Linked DNA regions of Coturnix japonica. The protein of the gene in region 1 interacts with the protein of each later gene in a pairwise test. Links are inferred from orthologs where the notes say so. Each region holds a gene or a part of one and is shown on either strand. Other genes may lie near its edges.

What was found. The genes of interacting proteins can lie anywhere in the genome.
Region 2: the proteins of EDC3 (region 1) and DCP1A interact in binary tests that used the Homo sapiens proteins (3 or more experiments, as listed by UniProt). The two-hybrid records come from large-scale screens. The link is inferred for Coturnix japonica from reciprocal best matches to the Homo sapiens genes EDC3 and DCP1A.
Region 3: the proteins of EDC3 (region 1) and ANXA10 interact in binary tests that used the Homo sapiens proteins (3 or more experiments, as listed by UniProt). The link is inferred for Coturnix japonica from reciprocal best matches to the Homo sapiens genes EDC3 and ANXA10.

Annotation. Positions count from the first base shown.
Region 1 is NC_029525.1:1,779,618-1,783,117, forward strand, and holds part of EDC3 (enhancer of mRNA-decapping protein 3), read left to right. Parts: intron 1-1,226; coding exon 1,227-1,562; intron 1,563-3,500. UniProt on the Homo sapiens protein: Binds single-stranded RNA. Involved in the process of mRNA degradation and in the positive regulation of mRNA decapping. May play a role in spermiogenesis and oogenesis.
Region 2 is NC_029527.1:4,964,762-4,968,261, forward strand, and holds part of DCP1A (mRNA-decapping enzyme 1A), read right to left. Parts: intron 2,673-3,500; coding exon 2,553-2,672; intron 1-2,552. UniProt on the Homo sapiens protein: Necessary for the degradation of mRNAs, both in normal mRNA turnover and in nonsense-mediated mRNA decay. Removes the 7-methyl guanine cap structure from mRNA molecules, yielding a 5'-phosphorylated mRNA fragment and 7m-GDP.
Region 3 is NC_029519.1:21,816,809-21,820,308, reverse strand, and holds part of ANXA10 (annexin A10), read right to left. Parts: intron 2,792-3,500; coding exon 2,678-2,791; intron 1,019-2,677; coding exon 928-1,018; intron 314-927; coding exon 234-313; intron 1-233.

The DNA of each region.
Region 1 (3,500 bases):
TAGAGGAGAGAGTAGTTTGGAGAAAAACCTGGCAGTGAGTGTAAGGACTCTTGTTGGATAACAGGAACAGATCGAGCTGCCCTAACATCTGACAGTCACACAAGAAATGAGCTTGTTTTCTCATTGTGTTCAGTGCAAGCTCTCGTTTATGTGAACTTTGAGTCTGTTGCTTTGACCTGCAGTCAGTGAAACATTTGGAGACTTGGCCCGTTGTGTTGGCCTGGGTTTGTGTTTCTTGTGCTGCTGTTAGCAGCAGTGTTGAATGCAATGTCTGCCAGCTCCATGCCAAGTTGTGTACAGCTTTGGAGTGATTTGCGTGTTAACTTTGGTTTGGGAATCCTCCCTCTGAGGGGGAGAGAGTGAAAATCATGTGTTAGTAAAACCTTTCTCTTAAAACTGTATGTGAATAACTGGTTGCAGCTCCCATACTGTAATTCTTGCTGGAGAGCCTTGTCCTTTCCCTCTATGTTGTTACCAGCAATTCTTCCCTAATGCTCTCTATGCTTAAGTAGCTTCTTGATGAAAGGTGTATAACTGAGTGAGAACAAACTACTGAAATAAACTATGTAGTCTCCAGCAGCTTGAAAATGAGTCTATAGATGAGCGACCTACTATAGTTAGTAATGACATCCAATTATTATTGAGACTCTAGAAGTAGAGTGTTGATGAGGTTTGGTGCTGCTGACTGCACCATGCTGTATCTGGAGTTTCATGCTGACCACTGTACTAATAACTGTGGCTTTGTAGTGGCTTTGTGCTATGGTTAGAGATACAGCGAGGTTAGGATAAATAGGATAAACCCTTTAGAGAAGTTAGCTGTGTTGCTGCAGGGACCTCTGTTATCTGACTCGGAGCTAACAAGGGTGCTTGGGGATAGTTGGTTTTACTCTGGTAAAAGCCCAATGTAGTAGGAATAAGGTAGTCCTAGACCAGGGCTCTTTTGTTATCTTATCACTAACATAACCCTATCTTGAATTAAATGAGTAGAAACGCTTGGTTTGCCTACTGTGGGCAAGCTTTTTCTTGTTTTTCTAGTCTTGCCAAAGGAAAGTCCCTGAAAGTCTATTCCCTGGTGCCTTTTCTTCTGTTTTTTGTTAGCTTATCTCAGCGTGAGTAATACCAAAGATGAGGTCTGCGGGTGCTTTGAGAAACAAGCATCTCCTTGGTCAGTAGACACCAAATGTGAGCTGTCCTCCCTTATAAAACTTGCTTTTATTTTTGTTTAGGGTCATCCAGTAGCCGCCATCCAAACCAGGTGACTCCAAAGAAGAGCGGGCTGAAAAACGGGCAGATGAAGAGCAAAGATGACGAGTGCTTCGGGGACGACATTGATGAAATCCCAGACACTGATTTTGATTTTGAAGGGAACCTGGCCCTTTTTGACAAGGCAGCTGTGTTTGAGGAGATTGAGACTTACGAGAGGAGGAGCGGCACCCGTTCCCGTGGGACCCCGAATGAAAAGCCAGCTCGCTATCGGCACGATGAGAACATCTTGGAGTCAGAGCCCATAGTCTACAGACGGATTGTGGTACCCCAGAATGCTAACAAAGAATTCTGCACGGGTATGCCAGCTCCCTTCATGATAAGGGTGCAAGCTCTGCAGCTTTGCTGGGGTACATCTGGTGTCTGTCAGCTTAGTGTGGTACATTCACTCATGTAAGGTTGGATCTGTGTCTCTCTTATGTGTCTGTAGCCTTTATTTGCAATATTTCTGAGATCAGAAATATTCAGGTAGGACAACAAGGTAAGTTTTCTGCAGTAAGGAGTGAAACTGAAGATTGGATTAAAAGGAATGGAAACTGAAGAGGAACCATGCTTTGATGGGAGCCATGCCATAATTCCTGCTTTCTTTGATAGAAGGCAGGAGATTTCAAGTATTCTATCGCAGAATCATAGAATGGCCTGAGTTGAAAAGGACCACAATGCCATGTGCAAGGTCAGCAACCACCAGACCAGGCTGCCCAGAGCCACATCCAGCCTGGCCTTGAATGCCTGCAGGGATGGGGCATCCACAGCCTCCTTGGGCAGCCTATTCCGGTGCGTCATCATTATGTGGTTATAAGGAACTTTTAATGCCATTGGTGTAAAAAGAAACAGCTCTGGGTCTTCCAACCATAGCAGTGAAGGAGCTTTGGCACCCCAGGGCAGCTGTTTCACACCAGCATAAAATCAAATGCCAGATGTTTTTGTAGAGGGGCACTAAATAGCTGGATCCTGGCAGTCTGACCACTGAGCGTGAGTGTGCTCAGGTCCTTAGCCCATCATTCTTTCTCTACCCAGAAAAACTCCATCTGGGGTGTGAAACACTTGTTGGAAGGAAGTTGATTCATTCACAGTGATTTGCTGCTTTTCTGTAGAAAAACGTCATTTTCTTACTGGTTCTGCTAGGCAGTGATATGATATCTGAGTTTTCCTTTTGTGGCATCCGCCTTCCTGTTGATCTGCTATGTTTGACAACTTCAAGACTTCCTGAAGCAGAAGTGGTTCAGATCTGTATTAATAGCTTCTGATGCCTTTTTTTTCCTTTCTGCTTAGTTTAAGCAATAACACGTTAATTCTGTGCAAGCTTTCAGTATTGCTACAGCACCCTGTGGCTTGAGGCTCCCAATGGGCTGTACTATGTGTGAATAAGCACTTCTTCCTTTGTGTGAGGATTTTAAAACGTGTTATCTGTCAATTCATCTTCCAGCTGGCTTATTTTGGAAGAGACAGAGCCTCTACGTATGTCTAGACCGAAACAAAGGCTAACCAAACTGTTGGAGAAGTGCAGCTGATATGATTTTCTAGAAGCATAATTCCTGGGAGGAAAACTGTTGTGCCGTAACCAGCAAACCTCAGGGTGGAAATTCAGAGGTTGGAAAAGAAATCATTTGCTGAACTCCATTGTTTCCTATGGAAACTCTTGGCACCCTGTCTGCAGTGTGCACAACGGAGCAGCCCTGTGAAAGCGCTGCTGTTTTGTTTTGCTCTTGGCAAGTTTGCAGAGGGAGAGTGGTGACCCTCTCTCTGTAGCTGCAGGGTCTTGCTAGCCTCATTAGCTGCTGCTGGGTGATTAGTCTCCCGTATGGAATTCTGGATCTGTTTGGAAGAAAAGTTGTCATGTTACACAACAGGTATTGCCAACTACAGCTCCCTTTTCACTGTGCTGTGCAGGGCACGTTCACAGCCCTGCAAACTGTGCATCCCTTCACTGTGTATCTTGATGTATTTTTCCCCACAGAGGGCAGTTTTCTTTGTGTTAGCTGAGGAAGTTTACTTTTGCTTAGGAAATGCTACCAGCTAGCTAGCAAAAGCTTTTGTAAACAGTTGTAAGTTGCCTGCTGTTCCTGGCTTTCAGTCGAGTGCTTTTTGTAGTGAGAAGGACAGAAGGGTATTCAGAATGCTTGGAGCGATGATGGGCTGTCACTTGATGAAATCTGGATTTCTTTGTTTAGCAGCTGAAAGGGGGATATGCTAAGCTACAAAGAGCAGCAGTGCTGAAGTCAGCTGAGTGCCAGGAG
Region 2 (3,500 bases), on another chromosome or scaffold:
ACTAACTCTTCCACCTGAAATTCTGCTTTTAACCTCAGTATGATGAATTAACTAGCTTCTCTTTATTAACTCATTGCTATCTACCATGCTCTGATCCTAGTCAGATTAGCCGCTCACATGAATACAGTCACGAACATTGGGTTGATTTCCAACATGAGGTACACAACACATTCCTTTTCTTGTCTCATCTCTGGCTGAGGTGTATTTTAAGCATGTAATCAGCTCACTGTGTTATGGAGACCCTTCTTCTGCAGGCGCTTGCAAAGAAGGTAACACAATCATTCTACTTGATAGGAACAGAGTGTTGCCCAGAGGGTATCTCCAGAAATCATTTCAGATACATTGAGACATGTGAATTAGCAGCCAGAGTTGGCACTAATACATTTAATTTCAGTGTCCTAGTTCAGTTTTGCTGACCACTGGTACAAAAACATTTTATGATACAACTGAATTCTTTTAGAATTGGATACATAACTTGAACTTCTAAATACCACAGAACAGACATTGATTTTCCATTCCCCAATCTGTGACATCCTTCACATGAAACCAACATACAAATGTGACATCCTGGGAGGGGTTTCAGAATCTCACAGTACTTAAACGTACAGTAGTTTTTAATTTCACTGGTCATTTGCTCTAATGAGGTGAAAATGTCCTCTTACCATTGAAACAGTGATTTTTTCATTCTTCCAGTAGTTCATATTATTAAAAATGAAATTGAGAACAAACATCTCCATACTGTATTTGAACCCATCCAGCTTCACAAAAGTAAAGTATCATGTACAGTAACCAGCTTTTCTCCCCCCAGTATCTGTGCAGCTACAGTTTTAAATTACTCAACAGAAAAGGCACTAAAGTACTTTGCTTTACCTGTTCTGTAAACTTGTTAATTATTTCGTTTCAATTTACTAGAATCTTACCTTTCTGATTTTTTCCTTTGTTACTTATTACTGATTGGCAAGTTCAGCTAATTATGTGCTTCCAGGCCTCAAGCACAAGCATGCAGCAATCAGAGCTGGCTGCCAGGGGTCAGTCTATCACTTGTGCTGGTTCTAAATCAGAAGTGCTGTTGAGATGGTGGAGGGCACTGTGACAGCCAGCAATCCCATGAAGCTTCCCTTCACCTCCTGTTTTAACTCATCAACATAAACAAATTTTTTGCTACTCATATCCTAACCTGAACTAGTAATTATTTATTTTTACTACAAATTAAATATTTTGTCTACAAGTATTAAATGTAAGGTTGCACACATTCTGCTCAGGCATTTCCTTTTTCAGAAATGAAGGTTTACTGCATTCAAAACATAACAGTAAAGCTACAGGAAGGACCTGGAGGCAGACATTTCCAGGTCACCTCAGCGGGGTATTTTATACAGAGAACTGCTCCTGATCTTTCTGTCCCCACTGGGTGGCACTGTAAGCAGGTACAAGTTGATACAGAGAATTTAGATGTAGCACAAATTATTATTTTAAAACAAATTTCTAGAAAGTTTTGTATGAAGCCACAGGTCCCTTGTTTATATACCCTTACAAGAAAAAGAAGTCAATCAAACTTCTGCAGCCCATATTTCAACCACTCCAGTGATTATACTACTTCATATAAAGTTTCCCATGGTTCAAAGACAATTAAGTGAAGCACAGGTTATTCTCACTAGCTTTTTATTTTTAATAAAACAAAAAACAACTGTGGCTTAATCTTCAGTTACAGTAGTAGCAGTAGGCTTTAGAATCTGAAAGTACGTAGATAGATGCTGACTGAACATTCATCTAACATTTACCTGAAACAGATCTAAGCACTGTACACGCAATTAAATTACCATAAACTTGAGCAACATCATTTACTGACATTGATGAAAAAATTTTTGGGAGATATTCCTTACTGCCAAAGAAGGAAGGCAAAGCTGAAATCTAAAACAGAAAAAAAAACCAACAGAAAATCCAGCAATTCACCAATGATTTCAGTTACCAGGAGTATAGCTACAGGTTAGGAGGCAGCATGGACAGACCTTAAGTACAGGTCTCAAACGTGGGAAAGGGAGGGCTTGAGCTTCTGTTTTCAAGTCTACAGCACAGCATACAACTGACTGATGCCATATTCACTCTGTCACTGTGACAGAGGTAATTTTGTCTGCTTCCTCACTCTGCAGTCATCTCACACAGACCTCTATGCTATCACTGACTGACAGCATAGAGTCCATGACAGTCCAGATTCTAAGTTAACCTATTTAAATACATTTGAATATTCAGAGTAGCGCAGACACCATCTTATATTTTTAAGCATTAAGATGAAAAATGGATTGTAGGCTCCTAAGAGTCTTAAAACCCACTGGTTTATCTAAGTGGGGGTGGAGGTGATGAATCATACCAGCTGATCTCAGACAAGCACAGTCAGGAGATGAGAATAGATACTAAAACCCATTCTTAAACTGAATCTACACTTCCAAATATGTTTATTTTAAAGTTAAGCACAAAACATTCAGCAAGTGATGCTGCAGGCATTTTTGGTACTAAATAAAGAAGCAGTACCTTATATACTTTTGAATTAAACTTACTTGATCTTGCACTTGTAATGAAGTGTTTTGTTCTGAAGTCTCTGTGCTTTCTGGCTTTGTGGGATTTGCATGTTGCTGTACACCAGAACTTGACGCGACACTTAAATCATTGCTCTGATTCTGGGGAAAAAAAAAATAAATACAGATACACTTTGGTCAAAATACTGACTTTTGACAGATACTGCAGAATTTCCACGTTTCAGGAAATAATATCATACCAAAATATACAACATCTGGCATGTGTTCATGATGCTTTTCTTTTTATTTTCAAAGGAGAAAATAAAAGAAAATAAAGACAGGCTTTCCATATTCTTTTCCCACATTAGCTGCTAAGGAGGATATTAAATCAAGAACTTCATACTAAAAGCAACTTACAAAAAAGCTTTTGTCAGAAATCATTCTAGAGTGATTGGATAAAGAGCTTGTTGGTGACTTATTTTCACTAGATTTTAATAACGTGCAAGTATTTTCGGAAGATGTTAACTGGGTTTTAGGTGAAAAAAGCTAAAAGGACAAGGAAGTCACAGACAGTAAGTTTACAAACTCTTTACAGATTGTGTTGATTTCCATATTCAACAAATACATAAGTAAACAATATTTATTACAGTTTAAAGCACAGAGGAAAAGCAACTGTAGGACCAGCAGCCTGGCATTCAGGTGAACTACACCTTACCCCTGTGACAGAGCTCAACATCAGCACAACACACAATCTCTTTTGTCACTTACCTGTTACAGCAACAAAATACAGGCTAAACCTTTCAACAAGAAGTTAGAAACAATCTGAGCTTTATTTATGTTTTCTAAAAATATTCGAGAGGAATAAATACAAAATCAAAATTATCTATGGACAGAAACAAACAACTCCTGTCTTTATGTGTTTTAGCCGCTAACTTCAAAGGTCTCTTTTGGGGCCCGAAATTGTGGACTGCCTTACAGTTACAGAAACAA
Region 3 (3,500 bases), on another chromosome or scaffold:
GTAATAAAATGTTGATCTTTGCACCATCTGAAAAGTGAACTGAAAGCCAAAGTAGACAAAAGAATTCTAGCTCTCTTCGTCTTTTACTCTTTCCACTCTCTTGTACAAAAGTGCAGTTGTGTTGAGCTAAATTTAGCTGCAGTTAACTTTACATTTAAGAATTCATGAATAATATCAAAAGTCACTCTATTTTTTTTATATGTGTATCATACTGCGTATTGTTTTTACAGTACCTGAGCAAGGTTCATGAGAGTGTCTCTAAAGTGGCCTGAAGTCTCAGAATCGATATCTTGTTGAAGATCATTGTTGTATTCTAGATTGAAACAAAAATGTGTAACTTAAGTACAAAACGAATGTGCTCTGAATACTATTCATGAGAGTAAGCAAAAAAAGGGTAAACGCATGGGGTGCAAATAGAGACTTGTTTTCTAAAGGTATTAAAAATTATTCCACAGGAACTCATGCAGGTTCTGCAGACCTAAATACTGAGGGAATCCTCCTTGCCAAAGCCTCAGCCACTGCACCAGCTCACCCACCCTCCTGCCTGTGCCTGGCAGCCCTGGCACTGATGCAGCTGCGTGATTCTGGGATACTCAGAAGCACCCCTCAAAGAAGGTGAGTTGAATATTCAGCACGAATAAACACTTTTTGAGAAAAACAGTAGATGTACTTCAGAAAAATGTGTGCAGAAGTTTATGAAAATCCCCAAATGTGGCTGCCAGCTATTTAAAATGTAACAGGCAGCAGTAAATCTCCAGAATACATTCATTTTGCTTCAGCTTTTTAAGTATAATTGTAAAAAGGGAGGAAGAGGAAGGGAACCATGCTGAGAAGTCACTTTAGTAATTTAGTTCTTTCACTCATGCTAACACATCCAGCCTAATACACATATCAGAGCTGCTGTTGTACGCTTGTAAAATACATTACGTGTTAAGTAGGCTTCTTTCATCTGGAATATCTCCATATTTGTTCTTGAGGCTAATATGTCAATTAGACACTTTTCTTCTGTGTTTACTCCCTGTGTAGAAGGAAGTAAATATGAAATCATTAGGAACCACAGCATCCAGAAGAAAGAAATGCTTTATTAGGTGTAACAAAAGAATAACAGTTTCTTCTGGAGCAGTGTCTGGCATGCCTTTGCATAATATACATATTTAAACAAGAGTTGACTTCAAGTTAATTGTCAAAACCTGTACAGCAAATATACTCCTGCTTACTTTGAATTTCAGAATATGTGTTAATAAGTAGGGAAGGAAGCAAGACTGCTGTTGACAGAAACACAATGGGAAGAATTTTAGAGCTTGAATAAGAGTTTAAGAGTTACTGAGAGAAATCAGTTGCAAAGATTGTGTATATGTGTCAGCAAGTGTTCAAGCCAGTCTGAAGTAGATAAGAACTCCAGTGTCATGTAGTGTTTTTGTCTTTTTTTCTATTCTTTTTTATTTGTTTGGGAATGTTATTGTCTGTAATGTATGCCATAAAACTTGGTAGTTCAGGAAAGTGTCACTGCCACTTAGACACTGCTGCAAGCATTTTCTATCAGGATTCTAAGTAATTTTCTGAGCTTGAGTTGACATAAGATAGTGGGCAGCTTTCTGTATTCAGATGTATATTGTTGATAAGTATACTGTATATGGGATAATGGGAGAATATGGCTTTGAGCCTGAGCCTGGAGACTGAAACATGGTCTTTACTTCAGCTATGTGAATCCAGATTGAGAGAGAGTACTGCGAAATTCAACTTGAAACCACATTCAGATAAAACGTGACTTTGCCGATCTTGGCCATAATGTTGATAAAAGTCATGCTTCTAATGGTATGAATGATACTTAACAGTTCTTTTAATGCCAACAGTAATTTTAAAAAGTATATCAGTAGTTGTAAAAAGTATATTGGTTTCCTAGTCTGTAGGACACAGGAAAACAATTTTTTGCTGTTTTTTTGAAAGAGTTTTTTGCTCAGAGCCACACGATCTGTATCTTACTTGTGACAGTGGGCAGTTGTCAGTAGCTATAGAAAGTGAAGGAAAACTGTCAGTCTGGGGCATGCCTTCCCATCTTACAGGATTTGGCAATTTAGGAATGTCCTGAGAAAGAATTTGTAAAGAATGATTATTTTTAATAGCCAAGAGCAAACTTGTATTCTAAGAATTTTTCAAGTCTTTTTTGATCCAATTTGAACCAATTTGTGCTTTTGGTTTCAATATGGACACGCAGCACTAAATTTCACCTTTTAATTGCATGATGTTTGAAAAAAAAAAAACATTTCAAAAAAAATGTCTTGTTTTAATTTGGTTGTTTAAACAACACCAGCTCAGATCCTGGGAAAAAAAGGAAATTTTTTATTTTAAATAGGCAGTCAGTTCATTTTGAATCTATGTTAGTAACATACATAAAGGTTCACAAGACCAGAGCCTTACATTTGCTGCTATAAGTATTTTTTATTTTACCCAGTTTACCGCAATGTATTTGTTACATAGCTAGGTTGCTATTTTTTGGTTTTAGCATACTAGTTAAATAAACTTAGTGTAGCGCTCATATATACTCACATGTCAGTGTACTTTGAAACATCTTTTTAGCAGTTTCTCAAGCATTTAAATATATAAAATTCACTTTAACTTATATTTAGTAATATAAACAGTGACCATGTGTCTGAGTAGCTGTTAATTAGGCCAATACCTTTAGTGCATGCCAGAGCTCATGGGCATCATAGTATGCAGGTGGATACATTAGGCCAACCATGACTTCTTTGAAGTGATGAGAGAGATTCTCTTTTAGGTCTGTCATCAAATCCTTAACAAAAATACATAGGATTATTTCAACAGTCACACTTTATGAAAATCAGCATACAAATATTTGCAGTTTTCTCTGTGAAGGAGTGAAGATGAACTGTCTGAGATAAAGTCTACCCAATATTAGGCAACATTTATCTTTCAAAATAGAACCTACTCCTTTTAATTGTACTTGTGAGATAGCAGTGGACACGGAAGGAAGTAGACTATATAGGCTTGTTTTTTTTTTTGATTCATTAGAATATGGAAGAAAATTCAGGGGTTCAAATGCAACTGTTCCTCAAGGGCTTGGAAATCTGAATACCACAGCAAGAGCATTTGCAGCTTCCCATAGCAGATTCTGCATCTGAATCTGCAAGAGCTCAGCCCACAGAAATTAAAACCCATAACAGACAGGCAATTTCCTTATGTTTTTCTGGGTTATTTGCTATGCGATTAATTTAAAAGTCATTCTTAAAAACTCATCCCAGTACATAAGAATACCTGCTCTGGATTACTGGAAGGCTTTGTGCTTCTCATACAGTACTGGGCAGCTGTCTGAAATTGTAGGAGTAGCAGAAATGCTTCCCAATATATAAACTTTATTTATTTGAGAGGCTTTTTTTTTTTTCAGGCCTGTACTTTACGTTTGATGCATATCGTAACATAATTAAATTAGTTGCTAGACTGGGAATGAAGAAATACAAATACAGATTAAAATTTGGGTTTGT